Linked DNA regions of Struthio camelus. The protein of the gene in region 1 interacts with the protein of each later gene in a pairwise test. Links are inferred from orthologs where the notes say so. Each region holds a gene or a part of one and is shown on either strand. Other genes may lie near its edges.

Evidence for each region. The genes of interacting proteins can lie anywhere in the genome.
Region 2: the proteins of EXOSC8 (region 1) and SLAIN1 interact in binary tests that used the Homo sapiens proteins (3 or more experiments, as listed by UniProt). The link is inferred for Struthio camelus from reciprocal best matches to the Homo sapiens genes EXOSC8 and SLAIN1.

The regions. Positions count from the first base shown.
Region 1 is NC_090942.1:196,283,955-196,294,086, reverse strand, and holds the start of EXOSC8 (exosome complex component RRP43), read left to right. Parts: upstream 1-6,129; 5' UTR 6,130-6,301; coding exon 6,302-6,318; intron 6,319-8,075; coding exon 8,076-8,112; intron 8,113-9,279; coding exon 9,280-9,343; intron 9,344-10,132. Other genes in the region: ALG5 (dolichyl-phosphate beta-glucosyltransferase), read right to left, coding at 1,148-1,240, 2,726-2,794, 3,479-3,525, 4,788-4,959, 5,936-6,001. UniProt on the Homo sapiens protein: Non-catalytic component of the RNA exosome complex which has 3'->5' exoribonuclease activity and participates in a multitude of cellular RNA processing and degradation events.
Region 2 is NC_090942.1:176,504,295-176,514,648, reverse strand, and holds the start of SLAIN1 (SLAIN motif-containing protein 1), read left to right. Parts: upstream 1-5,793; 5' UTR 5,794-5,801; coding exon 5,802-6,331; intron 6,332-9,870; coding exon 9,871-10,010; intron 10,011-10,354. UniProt on the Homo sapiens protein: Microtubule plus-end tracking protein that might be involved in the regulation of cytoplasmic microtubule dynamics, microtubule organization and microtubule elongation.

The sequences.
Region 1 (10,132 bases):
CAAAGCGAATTTAAAATAAAGCAGCGTCACTGTAAATGATTTGTGACAAAGTAGGCCTCGCAGTTTATTTTGCCATATTCTTAGTCAGAGATCTTTGACAATTTTGAAGGAGTCCACACAGGAAAACAGTAGTGAGTTTGCCAAAAGTACTGTTATTACTGAGCACATGTGACTTAATAAATACACCCACTCTACAGTCTGCAATATACAACTGTATCACACAATCGTTCTCCTTTTCCTAGGATAACTGAAAAATTATGTACCTTACAAGAACTCAGTACTTCATGTTTTCTCTATTTGCTATAGATACTGGTGTTTCATAAGTAAACCCTTGAACTGAGCCATTAAATATTCAAGCTTTACTGAGACAATCAGTGTGTGTGTGGGGGGGAAGCATGAAGAAAAAGATTTTTGAACTCATATATTCTGCACCTAACAACTATACTATTTACAATTACTTATCAGGCTAGTAGGTATAATTTATGGGTTGTCAGAGCCTCTATCTTTTACAAAAAAAATAATACATCATTTATGCTGGGAAAGAACATTCCTTCTAAATTTGTAACAACTAATTTATTTTCTGGACATGATGATTGTATATGATATCTATGTGCACGTTAATACGTGAAAGCATAGAGTGTGCCTCTTCTACCATCAAGTGCAGTTGATAACAGCGGATTTCAATGAATACAAACTTCTTTGGAGGAAAACGTTAGTTCACCAGCCATTTTTTAAAGTTAGAACTACAAGCTGGAAAGCAATGTTTGCAAATTTAGCTGTACTTTCTTTTATAAGAGTTTTACTTAAATCTGTAAGGTTTTTTTGTTTTTGCTTTTTAAATGCAGGCCTATTTCTAAGCAAAACTAACAGGAACATGAAGTTCAAGTCCAATAGTTTGTTTTTTTTTAAATCTTTTGAATGCTCATATGAAAAGAACTCTTTGTTACTAGCCTTCTCAGCTAGAAAAGATTGCTTTCAAGACCTAAAATAAGCTTACTTTACAAAGTAATTTATGGAACTTGTTCTCAGTTCTCCTATAATTATTTTGTTAATGCATGAAATTCAAAACTTAGATCAGCACAGCTGTATCACCTGCATATGGTGCACAACTAGTTCAAATACAGAAGGAGATGAAAGCATCAGTTACCATCCTGACTGCTCCTCCTTTCCCTCGATTTTTTACCAAAGAAAGCACTCGCACTTTGTCGTTTCCATATTTCTTGCAGTACTTCAGCGCAACCTAACAGACACACAAAAAACCAGCATAAAACAAAAACAGGAATCAAGGCAGAAGTTTTCATTTGCTCACCATTTTTTTTTTAATTCAATAGCACAGAGTAATAGTCCCTTCAGTCTGCACAAATATATTGCCCAGAGATTGCTGAAGTCTGTTCAGGAAAATAAAAACCAGTTCACAGTGAACACAAGAAGACTGAAAGAGACAGTCATGTTCAACTAGAATATGATATTCCCCCAGGCAGTTCTAGACCTCATTTCACCTATCTCACCAAAGTCTAAAAGATTCAGCACTAATGTAGTTTATATTATACTATTACAGGCCTTTTACATTAACACCTATAGCTAGTCAAAGAAAGAAAAAGTCTGCTACTAGTGCCACCTATTTCTCATTTGTTTCACTGTTATCTGTGGTATTAAAAAAATTCACAAAGGTCAAAAATCCCATTCACACTGCAGGGATGTGCTCTTTTGGTCCAGACGGTGGGGGAAGAAAAAACATGAGTTTTCTCCTCTAATCTTTTCCAAAGGTTGCCTCAAATCCTTGCAAGTTTGGAGGTCCATGGCCACAGCGTGCTCAGTTAGAAATTATAAAGAAAGAGTGCAAGGAAGACAGTAAATGTACACACACAATCCTTAACAGACAAGTTTAAGGGAAGGAAATGGAAAAGCAGCACTCATGTTAATTAAGTGGTTTTGAAAACCACTACCAGTGGCAAGGAGATTTTTAAATGAACAATTTCACGATCACAGCAAGCTATGTTAGAAACATTAAAAAAGACTAAAGTGATAGTTAAAAAGAGAAACACAGAGAAGGATGAACAAGCATTCTTAGAAGAGGAGAAATTCTGAAAGAAGTGGAAATTTGGAGAGAAACCCTTCCCCCCACCCTCGACTTACCGATGCTGTCATAAGATAATGAATTACAAATTATAATGTTTTGAGGTGACACTGTGGAAGTGGTAGCGTACTTGTGTAGCTGTAACGGTTTGGAATATCATTCCATGAACGGTATGGGAAAGAGCTATAGAACATGTCAGCCACTCTGTCCATCACAGTACAAATCAGCTATTTCAAAAGGCTTCCTAGCCTCACTCAACTTCATACTTACATCACTATGTACACGCAGAATATTTCAGAAGAAACCTGATGAAGTTGAAATTAGAATTTTAATTAGAATTTGAATTTTAATTAGAATTAGAATTTGAAATTAGAATTTGAAATTTAGCTGCAGGAAAGTGGCTGTCACATTAGCCAACCATGAATAATTGCATTTGCAAAATAGTTAGATATGCAGGCATATGTGCACGTGACATCCATAACGCAGGCAGGATAATGACAGAAAGCGTTCAGAAGCCTAAATTTTAATTATCAAGTAAAGAAAATTATTCAAATACCAAAATGTAAGAACAAAATATTGTTATGGTTCACAAATGCAATATATAAACCTATACATCCAATTACTTGGTAAGAAACTGCTCTCTCTTACCTTTTTGGTTAGATCTTTACTACCATCGTCAACCACTATTACTTCATAAGTGAATGAAGGATCTTGTTTCTTGAAAATAAAGAGAGAAACAACGCATTTAATACAATCTTTTCAGTAGGAAGCATGCCTTTCAAACATCAGTGTTCTCTTCTACCGTTTGTGTTTACAGACAGGCATCAATATGATGTGGTAAATTTGTTACGACAGTAAACACAGTTAAGGAATTTTGCCGTATTAGATGTCTGTTGGCTTGTCATATTTTTCCTGAGCTACATCTAGCACTGAAAAATCAATTTAGTTGAAAAAGGGTATGTGAAAGCTCAGAACATCACTGTTAAAAAACAAAGAAACAAAAATCCAATAAACAAACACCCCCCCCCCCGCACACCTTCATAATGGGCGTCTTAATCAGATAACCAATCCTAATGAAGAACAAGTGTTTAAAAATACTGGAAGAACAAACTAGCTTGTAGTTCAGAGACTTAAATATCTGGTTAATTCTTAAACTCTATCTTGGATACATACCTTGCATGGAAATTTTTGTCATGATAGAATAGTTAATTAAATTTTTACTTAATTAAAAAATACCTTCCAGCATTCAATCTTAGAATAACTGATAAGAGACAGAAGCACTACTTCTAAGTAGCTGAAGTTATACTATTTTAACATATAACAAAACAATCAAGTGATTAGATCACAGATTTATATGCAATACATACAAAAATAATGAATTATGAATGCAAAATAAAATACCTGTCTTTTTTCTAGATAATCTAAAGCTTCATCCATCATAAGAGGCACTACAGAAAAGGTGGAGGAGCTCAGGTTAGTAGATATAACAAGCTAAACACCAAGACCACCAACAAGCATATGCACAAGCAAGCTGACAACAACCATAGAACTAAGAAGAGCAAATTGATTCCTTCATAAAACACTAATTTCACTAAACAAATCTAGCACCTGCAATTCTAAGTGCTGTCCTTCCTGAATATGAAAATAATAATGAAAAAACCCACATCTAAGACAGGGGATGAAAATGTTTCTTTAAAGATCAAAAACAACTTTTTAGTTTGAAAATGTAATTCTCTACATAGTATTAAAGAAAAAAAAAAAGCCTTGCCTCACTCTGCGAACCAGCACTGACTAATCTTTGTGTTCACAAAAGATGACAGAAGTCAGCAAGAGAAATTCCTAATACTAGTCAGCACTGTGCATTCGTTTACTAAGGCTGCTGACCCAGATGCTTTAGGCACCTAACAGGCACTACTTTTGCAGCTGAACTATCTGTACATTAGAAAGATGTTCATTCTCAGCTGCCTTTGCAGTATATGCTCATTCCTGAGCAAATCTCAGGTGATTGTTCTGTCTCTGAAGAGAGAAGGCCAAATGAAAGTCACATGAAATGTATTAAATCCTTGCTCACAGAAAGCGAGCGCCTGAGAACCAGGACTGAGAAATACACTGGACTCTAGAAAGTGCCGGGCCTACTCTGCAGACTAGATACATACTATTTGCCAATATCCCTTGTCATGGAATCCTGAACAGCTCACTAGAAAAGGGAATGACAGTGTGTGCTATCATGTCAACCGCAAGCAGAGCTTCAGAGCTTGATGCTTTCTTATCCCATCAGAAAGCCTTCACCTTTTAGCAGCATATAAATGGCCAAGACAAAAGTCAAAGGGAAACCCATGCGATCATCTTCTTTCTGCTTGAGGCTGCTGCTGCCGGTTTCAGAGTGGAAAATTCTCAAATCAAGTTCAAAAGGCCTTTTCTACATCTCTTCTCACAGCATCTACAGGGGAATAAGCAGCTACTTTGCTGTGCTTTATTTTAATATAATGCATTCTTACAACTGATTTTTGTTGCTAAAAATAGCAAAGGCCAAATTATACAATTTCTTAATTCTGAAATTCAGTGTAGTTGGATTGGTTTCTGGAAACTGGGTACAACATTAGACACGTCTAGCCTGCCAGAATCTATTGCTAACATAAACTAACCTCTGCATTATTAGAGTAATAACAGATAGATTTTCTTCTTTTTCTCAAAACAAGAAAAATCTTACACCGGTCTTCCTCATTGTATGAAGGCACAACAACAGAGAGCTCCCTTGTAGGGGGATCATGTATACTTGGTACAGATTCTTTCCTGCCTTCAGCAGTTAGGAAGAACTTCTCTTCTTCATGTCGGTGAAGGCTTGGCATTTTTATGGCAGTTATGTGAGCAATTATACAAATCTGTGAAGAAAAAAGAAAAAAACACGCAAGAAAGTCTTTGCGCACTGTTTATGGAGTAGTGTCCTAGTAAAGGTTTACCCAGCTATTGCAACGTGCTACAATCGGACAATCAAATGTAGTTCGGTAATGAGCTGGGCTAAACGATGCAGTATTTTACCTATTGACCACATCATCCAGGATCAAAACCTTCTTATGCCACCTGCTCACTCCTCTTCATCTAACCTGGACACACTTAGCATCGGGAGTTTCTGTTTTCAGACGGAAGGCACCTTGAATGCTTCTGAAGATGTGGTCCAAGCCCCACTACACCTTCTCCAGCCTCCACCTCTAATACTACTAACTTCTGCCACCGCTGATCCCCCGCGGAGCCACTGCAGTGGATGGTGTTACTCATGAGCTTAGCCAGCCCCACGTTTGCAAAAATCACTTTTCTGCCCAGCTCAAATAAATCAGTAAGGCTTTTTTTTGGAAGTACTTTTCCTAGCGAACAATATATATGCAGTTCTCCTGACTAGCAGCAGCGCCCGGTTTCCAAGCCTCACAGGTCTCAGCCTTGCACCGTGTTTTAATCACCTAGAAAGGACCAACACCCCTAAACGATTAAGATGCAAAAAGCATCATGAGGCTATTCTAGGAGAGATCCGAAACGAACAAAGCCCCCTCCGTTTTCCATCTCGTTTGCCACGCGGCGCACCGACACGCCTTGCGCAAACACACAACAACGCTCCCAGCTAAGCCGCTGCGGGAACAAGAGCGGCGGCAACCGGCACCGCTGGCCACGCCGGGGCGCAGCGCAGCGACCCGCGGAGCGCGGCCGGCCTCGAAGCGCCGCCCGCGGCCGCAGCCCCGCGGCAGCCCCGGCCCGGCGCCGCGAGCCCCGCTGCCCGCACACCCGGCCGGGCCGGGCCGGGCCGGGCCGGGCGTGGGGGTGCGCGGCACCGCCTGCCCCCGCCGTGCCGCCCCCCGCGGCTCTCACCAGGACGAGGGCAGCGGCCGCCAGCGCCGCCAACGCCGCGGCGGCTTCGGGCAGCGGCAGCGCCATGGCCCGCGGACGTGGTGGGGGGGGGGCGGCAGCGGCGGCTGCCAACACCCTTTCGGGCAGCTCCAGCGAGGCGGAAGCGGCCGCCTCGCCGCCGCGGCGCCGCCGCCAAGAGGGGCGGCCCCGCCCGCCGAGCGGCGCTGGGAGCCGCCGGCGCCCCCCGTCGGTGAGGGCCTGCCCGCGCCGCCGCCGCCGCCGCCGCCGTCGCCTCCTCTCCGAGGCGGCGGGCCGAGGCTTCCGGCCGGCTGGGTCACGGGAAAGCGCAACCCCGGAAAGAGACGGCAGGGAGGTAGCGACGCGACTATGGCGACAGCTTTTAAGTAAGTGACGGAGGTTTAGCGGCGCTGCTCGCCGCCGCCAGCGCGGAGCCGCGGCTTCTCGGCCGCTGCCTTGGCCGCTCCTGGCGCCGCGCAGGCCGAGGCGGCCCCGCTCCCGCGCGGGCGGGGCGGGGCGGGGCGGTGACGGCGGTGACAGCGGAGCCCGCGCGGCCCGGCCTCGCGCCGGAGCCGTTAGGGCCGTTGGGGCCGTTCCCGGCGCGCGGCTGCGCGCGCCGCTCCGCGCAGGGTGGCGGCTGAAGGAGACAGGGATCGAGCGCATTCTCTTTGTGTGTTTTTTTTTCTTTTAAAGCTGCTGTTTTCTGCTCTCGTTTGGTTCGTAGGGAAGACAGAAGAGGTAGGCGATGACAGAATGAGAGACAGTGGGCACAGATTGAAACTTGGGAGATTTTGATTAGCTACTTGGGAAACATTTTTTTGCGGTTGAAGGGGGGTCAACCAGCCGGGGTGTGGAATCTCCCTCCTTGGAGACAGGCAACTGGGCAAAGCCCAGAGCAGCCTGAGTGAGGCCTGGGACCGTACAAGCTCCAGAGGCCGCTTCCAACACGTTGTGTTTTCCTTTGCCTTCTGAAACATCGACCAGCGCGTTAGCGCTGGAGGAGGGCAGCCTCCTTCAGGAAAGGGAAGAGGTACTGGCAGTATCGCTTTAAGGAACTAATTACAAGAGCCACAATTTCGAAAAACATGGAAAAGTAGGAAATTCAGTGGCTGCTGGTTTATGACTATTCTTCCTGTCGCTGTTCTTTCCAGGTTTCTGCCTTATGATCGTGAAACAGGGTGTAGCAGGTGCTCCCTGTGTGAATCAGAAAAGAATAGGCCATATATTGGCATTACAAACAGTGGCAGAGGACTATCATATAGAGGACTGATGCGTTAATTCATGTTTGTTGTCATGAGCTGTGATGACTGTGTGCGTTAGATTGCATTTGGAAAACTTGTTTGAATTTTTCCCAGTTAATCGCGTTTTTCCAGAATTGCTTGTTTGAACAAAACTTTTGGCTTTGGTCAAATATCACGCTGCCTCTATAAGTATTTTTTTACTTAGACGTTCTGTGCTGGAAATACTAGTACACAAGCTGTGCTGGTAGTATCTGATTAATAGTAAACATTAAGTATTCCTCAACTTAAGCACTGCATACAGCATATTTCATAATGTTATATTTTTATTTAAAAGGGTTCTAAGAAAAAGCTATTACATTTCAAGACTGATAAATTGTTTTTTAACTGCTTTGTATATCTGAATACAGTCATTGAATGAACAAAATAAATCAGATAAGGTTACCCTTTCTGCAGCATTTCTTCAAAAGCACTTGAGACTGTTGCCTCAATAAACACTCTTTTTGATCAGAACTAATTACTTAAATAATAAATTTAAAAAGATTCTTGAGGCGAAAGCTAGTTTGTATGGGCATATGGGCATGCAGATTCCCTAGTTGTAAGACAGAAGCATTTTGTTTCAAGTAGATAAAATGTTTATTTTTTCATTCTCCGTTTTTCCAAACCTTTTCTCCTTTTTAAAAATCATACATGCATTATAGTAGGTAGCTTTCTGAAACTTAGGAGGCCTCATCTTAGATCAGTTAAGTTTCCTGATCTTGCTATAATTGTATTGCTAATCAGCTTTGCTAGTTAGCTTAATTCTCAAATGACAGTTGTTGTAGGAAGGTGCCTGCTTTTCTTTTTTTGCTATATCTTAGTTACCAGACACTTTGCATGTGAACTTCAATTTCTTTTTATTTTAGAACAGTGGAACCGTTGGAATATTACAGAAGATTTTTGGTGAGTAAAACATGATGTGCATGTGTAAATTGCTTGTAATCTGTTTTTTTTTTTTTTTCTGATGTACTTTTGCTTTTCTGATTTGTCTCTGTGGAAATCTTGATACTTGTAATGCAAAAATAAAAAAATTGATTAAGGGGAAAAATGGTCATACTCTTCACAGCATATTTTGCGTTCCGTCTGTGGCATTCATTCTGGAGCAACTTCACATGGGTAAATGTTACTTTTGGCCTCGGAAGCAATGTGAATTAAACTTGACTAAGATAGCGGCCCAGGTTTGTCTCTAGTACAAAATGATCCCAGGCTGGGCTTTTAGCTGTTACTGAAAAATAAATAATAGAGCTATTGCTGCTAACCATATTTACCATGAATATGGAGGAAGAACACTGACTTTTTTGGTAATGCATATTATATTAGTCTATGCATTACTGAAATAATACTAAGAAATGAGTCTAGTATCATTGCAGTCAGCTTTAATTCTTCTAAATGCAGAATTGATGTGTATATTAACAGGAGCTTCATTGTCTATGAGGGCTTAGTCTAGAGTTCTTTACCTTCTAAAACACTGGTTAGCAGGGAGATAGGTAACAAAGTATGATTAAGCTATGAGAATACATTAATTGAACCATTAAGTGAAGTCTTTGTTTTGGAGAAGCTTGAAATTAGGGTGCATTATCATTCCCATCTAACATGATGGTAAATTGGAGCTGCTTCTAACTTAATGTGTATATCCAGGTTTTGTTGACAGCTTTTAACTGACAATATTTAAGGTTTTTTTTTTTTTTTGGTTCAGTCCAGTGTTCATTTTAAGAGCTCCACTGGGTGGGGAAGCTACAAAAACTAAACAGTGCAGAAAGGTGGAAACTTTCTAAAGTTATCAGTACTATTCATTCTTGGATGGTTTTCTGAGTCTAGCCTTTAGCACTTACTCTTGAGACAATTCATTGTTACATATTTATTTTTCTAAAAAATTACAGGCCTAAAACCACAAATGGGGTATCAGTTGCTGGAAAACTCGGTTGAGTTTTCCCTAGCAATTTTGTAACTCCATATTTCTGCTAAAAATAAGCAAACACTTTTTATTAAAAAAAACTCCTGAAGCATAAATGTTGGTGTGTTATTTCATGAAACGTGTTTTTTAATTTGAAATCTGTAATTTTTGTTTAGAAAGAGAACTGTCGACCTGATGGAAGGGAGTTAGGTGAATTCCGGGCAACAACTGTCAACATTGGTAAGTGCTTATTTGGAATAACAATAATGATAGGATTTTTTAATTATTTTTCTCAGATTTTTATAGTTGGTGCCCTTAATGACTTGCTAATTGGTTTTCCTGGTGCTTCAATTTTGAAACAAGAAAGGAGTAGGATTTGCATTTGTAGTTCCAAACAGTGTTAAAGAGAATGCATTGTGCAGGAATATATTTGAATGCTATTATTCAGGTCTACTTCTGGGCTGATCTGCATAGCGTAATTTAGGATGCTTTAGGATGCTTGGGTGCTTGTCTTAAGTCTCACATAAGCTGTGTATGATGCTCTAGCATCTTGAGAGAGGCAGTGACTCCTGGATTCTGCTTTGTTCCAAGCTTGGTGAGCAGCTGTCTCTCACTGAAGCAAGATACCTGCTATGTAGTGAGCAGCAGCACCTTACCTTCCTGAGGAGCCTTCCCTAGACCTTGCAATGATTTTTGAAGAGTATAATTAACTTCTCTTTTTGAGAAGAAAGTACAGGTTAGCGTATCACCATGGAAAAGCTGCTCGTTATTGTTCAAACTGGAGTTAGTAGGTCTCTTCCACTGAACAGCATTGCCTTTCCATTAGGTCTTGCTGCAAGTCACCCAGATGGTGGTGTTATGTTAACTGTCTATGATTTCTAGTCTATAAAAGTTCTCTGTTGATAGGATCTGTGGTATTTAGAGCTCTCTTTTGCTGTTTTATCTGTTTGCGTAGTAAAAATATACATTTTCATCCAGCAGACCATTGACTACTTCTAATCCAAAAGGAATTATTACCTCAAATTTGCA
Region 2 (10,354 bases), about 20 Mb from region 1:
TTCAAGTGTCTTTAAAAGCATAAGTAGTTTTTATAATTGGTGAAAACTCATGAAAACAAAAGAACTTATCCTGATTTATAAGACTCAGGTTCATGCTTTCTGTCTAGAACTTAAGGAAGGGAAAAAACAAAGAAGGTAAGGAATCAATGCGTTTGTAAGCCAGAGAAATTTGATATGGAATTGATGAGTCAAAATACAGTAACACTCCATTAAACTAGAACTGTCATGGGCGGTTCCATCTAGATAGACCAACAGACTAGCAGACCCTATGCTTAATACATGGACACCATTTTTAGATACTGTAAATGCTGATTTTCTGAAACAGGTGGAGCTCAGAGAAAATGATGCAATTCTGAATTTAATCCCTTAGAAAATCCATTCTAATAGTTATTACAATATACTCGAATTTAACATTAATTTATTACGGAAAAAGCCAGAAAGTCATAAACATAATGATAAAAAAACAGAGAGAGAGAGAATTGTATAAAAATGACAAAGCCAGTTACCAGGAAATTAAAAAAAAAAAAAAACCTACGGTGGCAAAACATTTGCAAGAGACTTTGGGAATGAAGAATCCATGTTCTAACTCAAAGAAGAAATTAACAACTCAGATATTTTAGAACAAATGTATAAAGCTAACAATAACAAATGTCTAAGACCAGACAGTATCCCTGCAAAAATTCTAAAGCAACTTAAGTGTGGACATTGTTGAACTCTACAGGCACCTATCACTCAACGTAGACTCGGTGCCAAGCAAATTTGAAGCATCAGCTGTGACATCAGACTTTTAAAAAATATGAAAGCTGCTCTGGGGAACTGCAGATCAGTAAGTCTGACTTTTCAATCAAGCCAATTTGTACAAATTATAATAATTAACAGAATATAAAGGCATACGGATATTTATGATATATTGGAGCAGTGACCATACAGCTTTTTGAAAGCAAGGCATGCTCATAAATATATTAGTATTTCTGAAGGAGCCAATATGCTTTTAGTTAAGGTGATTTATGTATTTGAGTATATTTAGATTTTCGATAAGTTTTTGTTACACTCTTTCCCTAAGCTATCATCATATAAGAAAACTTGCAGCAATAAAAGAAAGAAAACATCAGTATGAAAAAAAATGTTTTCGTTATGGAGGAAGATAGGAAAGAATGGGAGGTAAAGACTGACTTCTGTGGGGGCAAGATCATACAGATTAGGGTTTGTCAGCTTGGAAGAGAAGTAACTGAGGGAAAATATGTTTATAAAATCGTGAATGACAAAGAGAAGCTGAACAGAGAATGAGTAATCATTCTGCCTTTCTCAGAATACCGGAACTAAGAGACCCCCAATTAAATTACTAGGCAGCAGGTTTAAAGCAGATAATAGGAAGCAGTTTTTCATACAATACATAATTGAACTGCAGCGCTAATTGCCAGAGGGTGTTGTAAAGTTCTAATGTATAAATGGTTTAAAAATGGGGCTTGACAACTATAATGTTATTACACATTGCTGGCAATTAAAAACAAACGGTCCAGATGTCCCATCCACCAACCACTGAAAACTGGAGAGAATCCCTCAATATTTTTCTTGTTTGTGATATATTCTTCCCTAAGCAGCTACTATTAGCCTTTCTTGAAGATAGGATACTGGGTTAGATAGACTTCTGCTCTAACTCCACATGGCAGATGTTCTATTTTTTATAAAACTACTTTCGCAGTGACTTTTCAGAATGCAAGTGCATTTTAAAAATTTCACCAGACTTGGACTTTACCATTCATGCTCTGACTTTATTGTAACACATGCTTTGTATAGCCCAGACTGGATTACTGCAGTTCATTCTATGCTGGCTTGCCTGAAAGGCAGGTCCAGCCTGCAGCTATTACAGAATAAAGCAATATGCTTATTATCAGAGAAGAGCAGATGGGATTTATAGACTTCCTGCTTCTTTGTTCTCTGCACTGGGTGTCTATTAGTAACTATTCTGATTCAGAAATTTCTACTATACTATGTCACATAAGTAGCCTAAACCACCATCTTCTATGCTACCACAGTTTCTCCGGTTGAGGAATAACAGGCTTCATGGGCATGTTTGGATGTTTTGGATTGGTGTAAAACACATTTTTTCAATAACTTAAAAAAGGGATGCAGTCTTCATACAGTCTTCATTGTGTTTTGTGAAGAGCTGTAGGAGTTCTGGGTTGACCAAACACATCAGCAAGTGTGGGAATTCTGAATGGAGCTGGTCAAGCAAGTTATTAGCAATGTCAACAGTGGAGAAAAACCATTTGTATTAAAAAAACAACTTAGGTCAAAAATATTTTAATGACTAGGATGTCAAAACCATCTTTTTGGCCAGCACAAAGACCATGAAATAGCATGTTCATGTACACACACTCTATCTGCCAGAACCTCTGAGTGAAGATGCAATGTTAGTGAAACTACCTGTACGTTTAATATAGAGCAACCATAGCGAAACTGATTTTTTCCATTCACTAGAACCACCCTTTCAGGAAATGCCTGGTAAAAAAGATAGAGTCTCTCACCCAGATTGTGAACATGCACAAGTTTAAGCTGTTTTCAATCCATACTGCTGGATGGAGATTAGGCTCAAAGCAGACCCACCCTAGGGAGAGCCAAACTTCTGGACCATTTTTGTGGCGACTGGATGTAGTGAACTTGATTAATTTGTACAAACTGCCTGGAAAAGTTTTTATCCCCATGCTAAGGCATCATACTCAGTCCTAAGCTTTGTCCCTTCTGGAACTAGGTCCAAACAAGTGTCTGCATACAATATGTTTGTAGGCAGTCTAAACAGTGGAAGGTAGTTGAAAATTCACAGACAAACTGCTTCTACTCATAACTGAAGATAAGTATTTTAATAGTGACTCTTAAGGTCACGTGCCATGATACTTGTAGTATATCTCCAAACGTATCCCCAAACTGGTGTCTGTGTTAGATATTTTTACTTCTAAAATGTCCTGACCACACTGTAGTGTTCCTGCTTTGGCAGTCAGAAGAGCTTGGATCACTAGTATTTTCAGGACATTTGTTTGTCAATACTCTTCAGGGCTAACCTAGCTGGTATATAATTAGAATATTGTTGCCAGGTCCACATTTAATATTGAATATTGAAGGTTATAGGGATAAACCCGTGCCAAAACATTTGGAAATATTAGGAAAAACGCTATGTAGCTGAAAGGTGAAACAATCAGATATCAATTTCCTGCTTTTTGTTCGTCGTCTAAATAACTTTGCTCACCTGGTTCAAAGAGAAAAAGTAATTTCTCCGTTCTGGAACATTTTCAGTATTTCCTCTGCCTCATTGCATTATCCACCATAATTATTGTGACATTATCACAAACTACTGCGTTTTTTACGTTGTACAGCACCAATGACCAGTAAACGCTATATTACATATGCTGCTAGTTACCTTTTTATCATTTTAAAAATTTTACTGGATTAGCATACACATACTTCTAAGAATTAAGGCTAGTACCATTATGGGGGATGACAACGTGAGAGACAGGCCTTTTGCCTGGGGCTAAACATGTTGAAACTTATTCCTCTTTTTCTCATGGAAATGAAGATTATTGGTAGTAACAAAAACTGGATTATACTACTCACTCTGATGATGTGTGACAGAATTGGGACCAGCCATTTTCTACACCGTTAACATTTTTTCACTCCTTTCTTCCTAACGGGCAGAGGAGATCAAACACATTTTTGGATTTACTGATATCTGGTTGCACACTAATACAGTGAGGGCTATTTTTATTCTCCTCAGTGATAAAAGTTACATTATCTGGAAGTCAAAAAGCCTTATGCCCTATTTTATCTTCCTTTCCATCCATTCTTGAAGTGCTAGTTGTTGTTTGCACTGTAATAGCGCTTAGAAGACTAACAAATAGTAGACTCATTGTCTTGTGCATATGCAGAAAAAAGAGAGTCTGTTTTCAAAGAGTGTAAACAAAAGACAGAAAATTTTGACAGGCCGGATGATTTCAAAGTTTACTTATGCCCTGAACAGAGAATTAGGGCCTGTCCCCTTCTCACATATGAAATCTGAGATAGGGAATAGACACTGTGAAGAGGCAGTGGTGACTGTTGTTGGTACTACTCTGTCCAGTGTTGATGTTCAGTAACTGGGAAGCTACCCTATGTATCTTGATAGCTATAGTGACTATAGTGACTATAGTCCATAGTGACTCACCCAGCAATTTAACTGCTTCCTGCGATTTTATTGCGTATTTTGTATTATAGCTTTAGGAAACTTCAGGACAATCATTTAGAAAGCTGTCCTCTGTAATTCTAGCTCGGGGAAATGGACCAGAAAATGGGCAGTCCTGGATTCTATAATGGCCAAGTTGCCTTGGGCATAACACTGAATCCCTGTTGATCTTCTTGCCTCCAGGGAGGAGCTGACTATGCCCACTATTGCTGAGCATTTGGGATACTCATGTTCACAGTAATGAGCTCACAGAAGTGGTCAGTATTTTGAAGTTATTTGTAGTTACATTATCCTGTGTGAATAATTCAGATCAAGGGTACCCCTGTGTGGTTTGACTGTTCTCACATCAGACTCGCTCTGGCCCCTGGCAAGGGCACCATGGCAGACGACCGGGGGTGATGTTCTCGGCTCCTGCTTTCACCTCCATGCACATGCCTGACAGACCAAGCTGCCAGGTCACCTGCTCGGCAGGAGAGAGAAAAGCAAACAATAGTTTCTCTAAGTGCTGGATAATGAAGAACAATATAAAAACATTTCCATATCTCAATGTCATCCATCCCTCTCAAGCAGAGACTCAACACTACAAACCCATATACGTATCTGGATCAAGTTAAAAGACCTCATTTCAACACGGGGCCAATTTTAATCTCAGGGGCTCTCTGATACATAAACGATTTGCTTATGTGGTTTTCTACTACGCTTTGAATCGTCTTCATGCTTCTTCAGCAACGTATCTCCAAAAAGACATGCACTTTCCTTGTCCTGAATCAAAAGTCCTACAATCAGCATGTTTCAAAGCCACAAATGCGTGCTTTGGGCTGAATTCGTTCCTTTCCAACACAACAAAGCCTTGATTCGTGATTCTCATTCCCATCACAGCTAAATCTGCATAATTACAACCCTGACACCACCAGGCGCTAATTATATGGCTCACAGGAGGAATGACAGCCTGGGCCGGATCCAGCTCGCAGCCCGGCAGCGGCGTTTGCGCGCCGCAACCACGGCCGGGCAAAGACCTTTGTCTAAAGCCCCGGGATGACATGGCCCCGCCGCCCCCACGCGGGTCACCGCGGCCCTCGCCCCGCCGCCGCCGTCCTCCCCCTCCCTCTCCCGCCGAGGGCCGCCGCCGGGCCTGGCCGGAGCCCCCACCCCAGCCCGGCCGTGGCGCTGAGGGGGCTGCCGGGCCGCCACCCCCCTCCGCGCTGCCTCCCGCCCCCAAGGAGCGCCCGCCGCCGCCTGACGGCAGGGGAGCCGGGCGGCTCTTTGTTCCCTCTCTCTGTATGGGGCGGGAAGGGAGGGGGGCTCCGGCTGCCGAGTGGGAGGGGATCTCACCGGCTCCCGCGCCGCCGCTGACAGGAGGCGCAAGAGCAGCGGAGGCGGCTGCTACGGCGTCGCGGCGGGCGTGAGGGGTGGGGGGGGGCGGTGGCGCCGCCGCAGCGCAGCGCAGCGCAGCGCAGCGCAGGGCGCGGAGGGGCGAGGGAGCGGCGCGAGCCGCCCTCGCCAACGGCCGCCCGCCCCCGCGCGCCAACGGCCGCTCGCGGCGCCGGGCGCTGCCCAGCGGCGGCGCAGGTGCCGGCGGCGAGGGAGGATGGAGGCTGCCTTGCTGAAGCCGGCGATGATGGCGGAGGTGAAAGGGAGCGGCGCCGGCCCCGCCGTGGGCTCGGTCGTCAGTGCCGAGCTGGAGGTGAAGAAGCTGCAGGAGCTGGTGCGGAAGCTGGAGAAGCAAAACGAGCAGCTGCGGAGCCGTGCCGCCGCCGCGGCCGCCACGGCCACGGCGGCCGCCGCGGGCCCGCCCAGCCCGCACCTGCTGCTGGCCCCGCCGCCGGCTCCTGGCGGGCTGGGCCCTGCTGGCCCCCCCCCGGCGGCGGCCGGCGGCGGCGGTGGCGGGGCCGCTCCTTGCGCGCCCAGCGCGGTGCCCACCCTGCTGTGCGCCGCCGCGCTGGGCCCGCCGGAGCCCCTCGCTTATTTCAAGCCCACGCCCGGCCTGGCGGCGGCTTGCGGCGGCGGGCAGGAAGCGGGTGGCGGCGGCGGCGGCCCGGCGGCAGCGGCCACGGTGCTGGACGAGGTGGCGGTGCTGGAGCTGGAGGAGGGCTGCTGCGGAGAGGACGAGGATACGTGGTACGTGCGGTTCGTAGCGCGGCCTTGCCCGGCGGCGGCTCGGTCTCGGTGCCCCTCGCCCACCTCCCTTTTCCCCACCCGGGGCAGCGCCGGGGGCCGCGGCCCGGCCGTCTCCCTCCCCCCCACCCCACCGCGGGGCAGCAGAGCCCTTGCTCTGACCCCCCGCCGGGCTGCAGGTGTCCCCCGCCTCCCCGCTAATGCTCACCCAGATGGTGCTCTCCAGGCTATTATAAGCATTAGCCCCCACATCTACTTGCTCTTGTTCTGCTTAAACTTAAATCTGCGTTTTATTTATGTTTTTTTCTCCTCTCCTCTTTAACGTGTCACCTGCTTGGTGAGATCAACCTATAACGGTGAATGGGGACCCCGCGTAGGGGGACCGGGGGTTGTGCCCCGCTTCAGGTCAGGGCTTTATCCCCCGGGGCGCCTGTCCCTGCTCCCCTCCCCGGGATGCCCGCCCGCCCTGGGGCTCCTGCTCGAGGGGCCGGAGGGCGGCTTGCCTCGGCCGCAGCCTGCGCCGCAGCAGGGCCGACGGGGAAACACGGGGGCAGCCGGTTTTGCTCAGGGCCGGGCCGGTGATGTGAAGGAGGCACCGGCGCCGGGCGCGGCGAGGGGCCGGGCGGGCGGGCGGGCGGGCGGGCGGGCGCGGCTGGACCAAGGCACAGGCTTCCCGTCGGGAAAAGCAGGGATTCGCTGTTGTTTTTCCCGTTGGAAAAAAAAAAAAATTGTCTCTCAGTTTGGTGTCAGCCTAATTTCAGCCTACTGCTTACATAAGGTATTAAAAATAGCGGAACCGTTCCAGTAATCCTTTATCTGAACAGTGCTTCCTCCCCATCCTAAAATCTCTGTCCAGTTCGGCTCTGGTCTTCCGGGATTTGGGAGGGCTTTTGTTTTTGGGACATTGATCTACGCGGTTGTTTGTGTATCCGAAGTGCTTACGTAGTTCCAAAACGCATGGCGCTGTGCTAGTAAATGTTTTCTTAAAAAAGGGCAGAAAATAAATTGATCTAAAGGAATAGTTATGCCCGTTTAAAAATAAATAGAAGGAGAAATTATAGACTAAAAATATGAAAGATTGTTTGGTGCTACGTAAGTTGCCTGAGCAACTTGTGCAAACATCTTAGAGACTATTTAAGCGCTGCACTAATATTGTGGAAATCGTTGTCCACGTAACCACGTTAAGCGTAATTGATGGTCGATTGTATTAAAGTGTCAGTAGTAAAATGGATATTAATCATATTTAAATAACCATTTTAAGTATCTGTTCATGCCTCAGCATAGTTTCTTAACCTGTTTTAGTTTTAAAATCAAGCTGAAGAATACATCAGCTGAGAATAAAATACAGTATAATGCAGCTGAGATGCAGTTAAACATCCTTATTTTGGTAGTAAAGAAGGGATTTAAAAATGCAAATATCATCAGTATTTCTTGAACACTGGTTATATGTACTTCATAGCACAAAAGTAATACTGTGACTTAGTTTTTGGAAATTGCTTTTGAGAATTATCATGAAATTTTGCATACATTTTTATCAGTATTGTTTCATTCTGTGTATCCTTCGTCTGCATGAGTTGTTGTGAGAATGCTGATTCTGAGTTCAGTCAGTTTTTCCTTCAGACCTAACCCATTGCTTGTGGCAAATGAGTAGAAGTGATTAAACTTTCCTTTGCATTAGCATTTTTCCTCAAATTTGTTTGACCTAACAGAGCAGTACAAAGTCAGCGTTATTTTACGTATCTTAGTGCGGTGAAGATTTTGATCAGTTTCCTATTTGATTTGCACTCTGGAAGCCACCCAAGTGCAGTTTTGGGGCCAAAACTTATCTTCATGTCATGACCTGTAGTTCCAACTCATGTCACACATATATGTGTCTACAGGCAGAATCTGGTAATAGGAGTTTGTTAACTTTTTTATTCAATTTGGAGTGAATTGTGTTAGCTGTTGTACGTTTTCCTTTCAAGGATGCATCTCCTTTGTTGTCCATTAATGGTCAGCTGTTTGATGTCAGCTGCTTTGAGGCTTTTATAATTTAAGTCATTAAAGCAAACTGATATCTGATAATCCAAAGGCCAGTATGTTCCTCGCTGTTGAGTTAGTATTTTGGAGTCTTGAGTACATCTTTATTATTTTTAACTGTAGTTACAAAAACAAGAATTGGCTTTATTGCACACAAGCCAAAATTTATTTCTGCTTGTCAGCTTTTTATACAAATGTCTGATCATTGAGAATTCATCAGTCAGATGTTTAGCTTTCAAAACGCTTCTGCAAGCTAACAGGAGACCTCAAAACTTTTCCTTTTTTTTTTCTTTTTTTTTTTCATTTTTCTCAGTATCATGTTTTTAAACGTGTAGCCAAGCACAGCGTGGAGTAAGGGGAAATGAGTACTCTCCTCAGAGAAATTTAGTAGTTGAACTCTGGGATTGCCAGTAGAGAAATCAATTACAATGAAGGTATTTATTCATTTTGAGCTGGATAGAGACAAAAAAGATATTGAGTAGACATTAGAAGTGGCCACCTGAAGAATTTCTTCTTCTTTTTTTTTTTTTTTTTTGTGTCTTGCCTTTTGTGCCCCTATTTGCATGCCAAATTCCTTTGCGTTATCTGGGTATTTTGCTGGAGCCTGACAATCTGTGTAAGAGTTTGTCAGTAGTCACATCGATCAGAAGTGATAAGGCATGCTGTTCAGCCAAGGAGCTGAGGGCTGTCCTCAGTAGCTATTAATAGTTCACTTTCTGGAAGATTTGTGCTCTCCCAGGTGAACTGATGTCTGCATGTGTACACTAATCTATAAGGAGAGCAGGAGCAATGCAGATACCAGCTTCAAGAATTTACCTGTGAAAGCTACTTTGGTACCTGGCTTCCTAAACGTGTTTGATCATCTGATTAGTTGCCCAGTGTACTCTGAGAATTATGGATATATATACTAGTTTTTCAAGAATAATTTTTTTCCTTCTGGAATCAAATATCAAAACTGGATTTTCATTTCTCAGCAGATGTTTTCTAATCTTTGAAGTCTGACTGTTATACAACATTTAGTTCATTTAGGAGAAGAGCCTGGGTATGAAAATTACAATCCGCATTCTGACACGTTGAGTAAATTATTAAAGGTAAACACATGAAATAGATCACAGTGAAATTCTCATTTAAATGTGAAATAAAACACTGAAATTATTTAAACTTTGATAAATATGAAGGGGAAAACTGATAGCATCTTTGTGTGTACAGCACCTAACGGGTTTGAACTCTGAGCGGTGCTGAAGTTCAGGCAGTGGTAATAATGAGATGTAATATTTTCATGAGTAATCTAATCTAACTTTGATTTGAAGTTCCAAAGCTGTAGAGATTATAATTCGCCATCACGTTTCATGAGGAGAAGGGAAAAAATCAGCGTAAACTCTTTTCCTGCTGAATGCTTTTTGTTAATAGAATTTCATAGTGCGGGGTTATGCACTGTTAGAAATTAGCAAGAAACTGAGAGTACAAAAGTTAACTTTTAAGTATTGCATATCTTTCTGATATTTGTATGTATTTTGGTTAAGGTTATATGTCTTACCTACCAAGACTCTCACTCCTCAAGAGAAATCACTCAGTCCTCTGCAGTGGTGCAGACGTGTTCTGGATCATCCAAGTCCTGAGATAGAGGCTGCAAAACGTTCTCTATGCTTTAGATTGGAACAAGGTAATCTTATTCTTTGAATTTCTGTACTGTTAAGTTGGCATTTTTGCCTGGCATATCACTAGTACTCAGTGACTTTGACAATTCGGCATATTTCACAAATGACAGGCATGCAGTTCTCTCAGGTCTGCCGGTCTTCCTCTGCCTGTGAAAACAACAGGCGATTGTTTGAGATATTTTTTTCTGACCATGTATTTTTAAAGTATTCTCCTTCTTCATTATTCTTTTCTGTCCCTGAGTAATTCCTCAGTTTTAAACTCCTCAGCAGTATTCAAACATTGGTTAAAATATAAATTAGAGACTTTAGCGGGGAGAGAACTTTGATGCTAGCTTTAGAATTGGTCTGG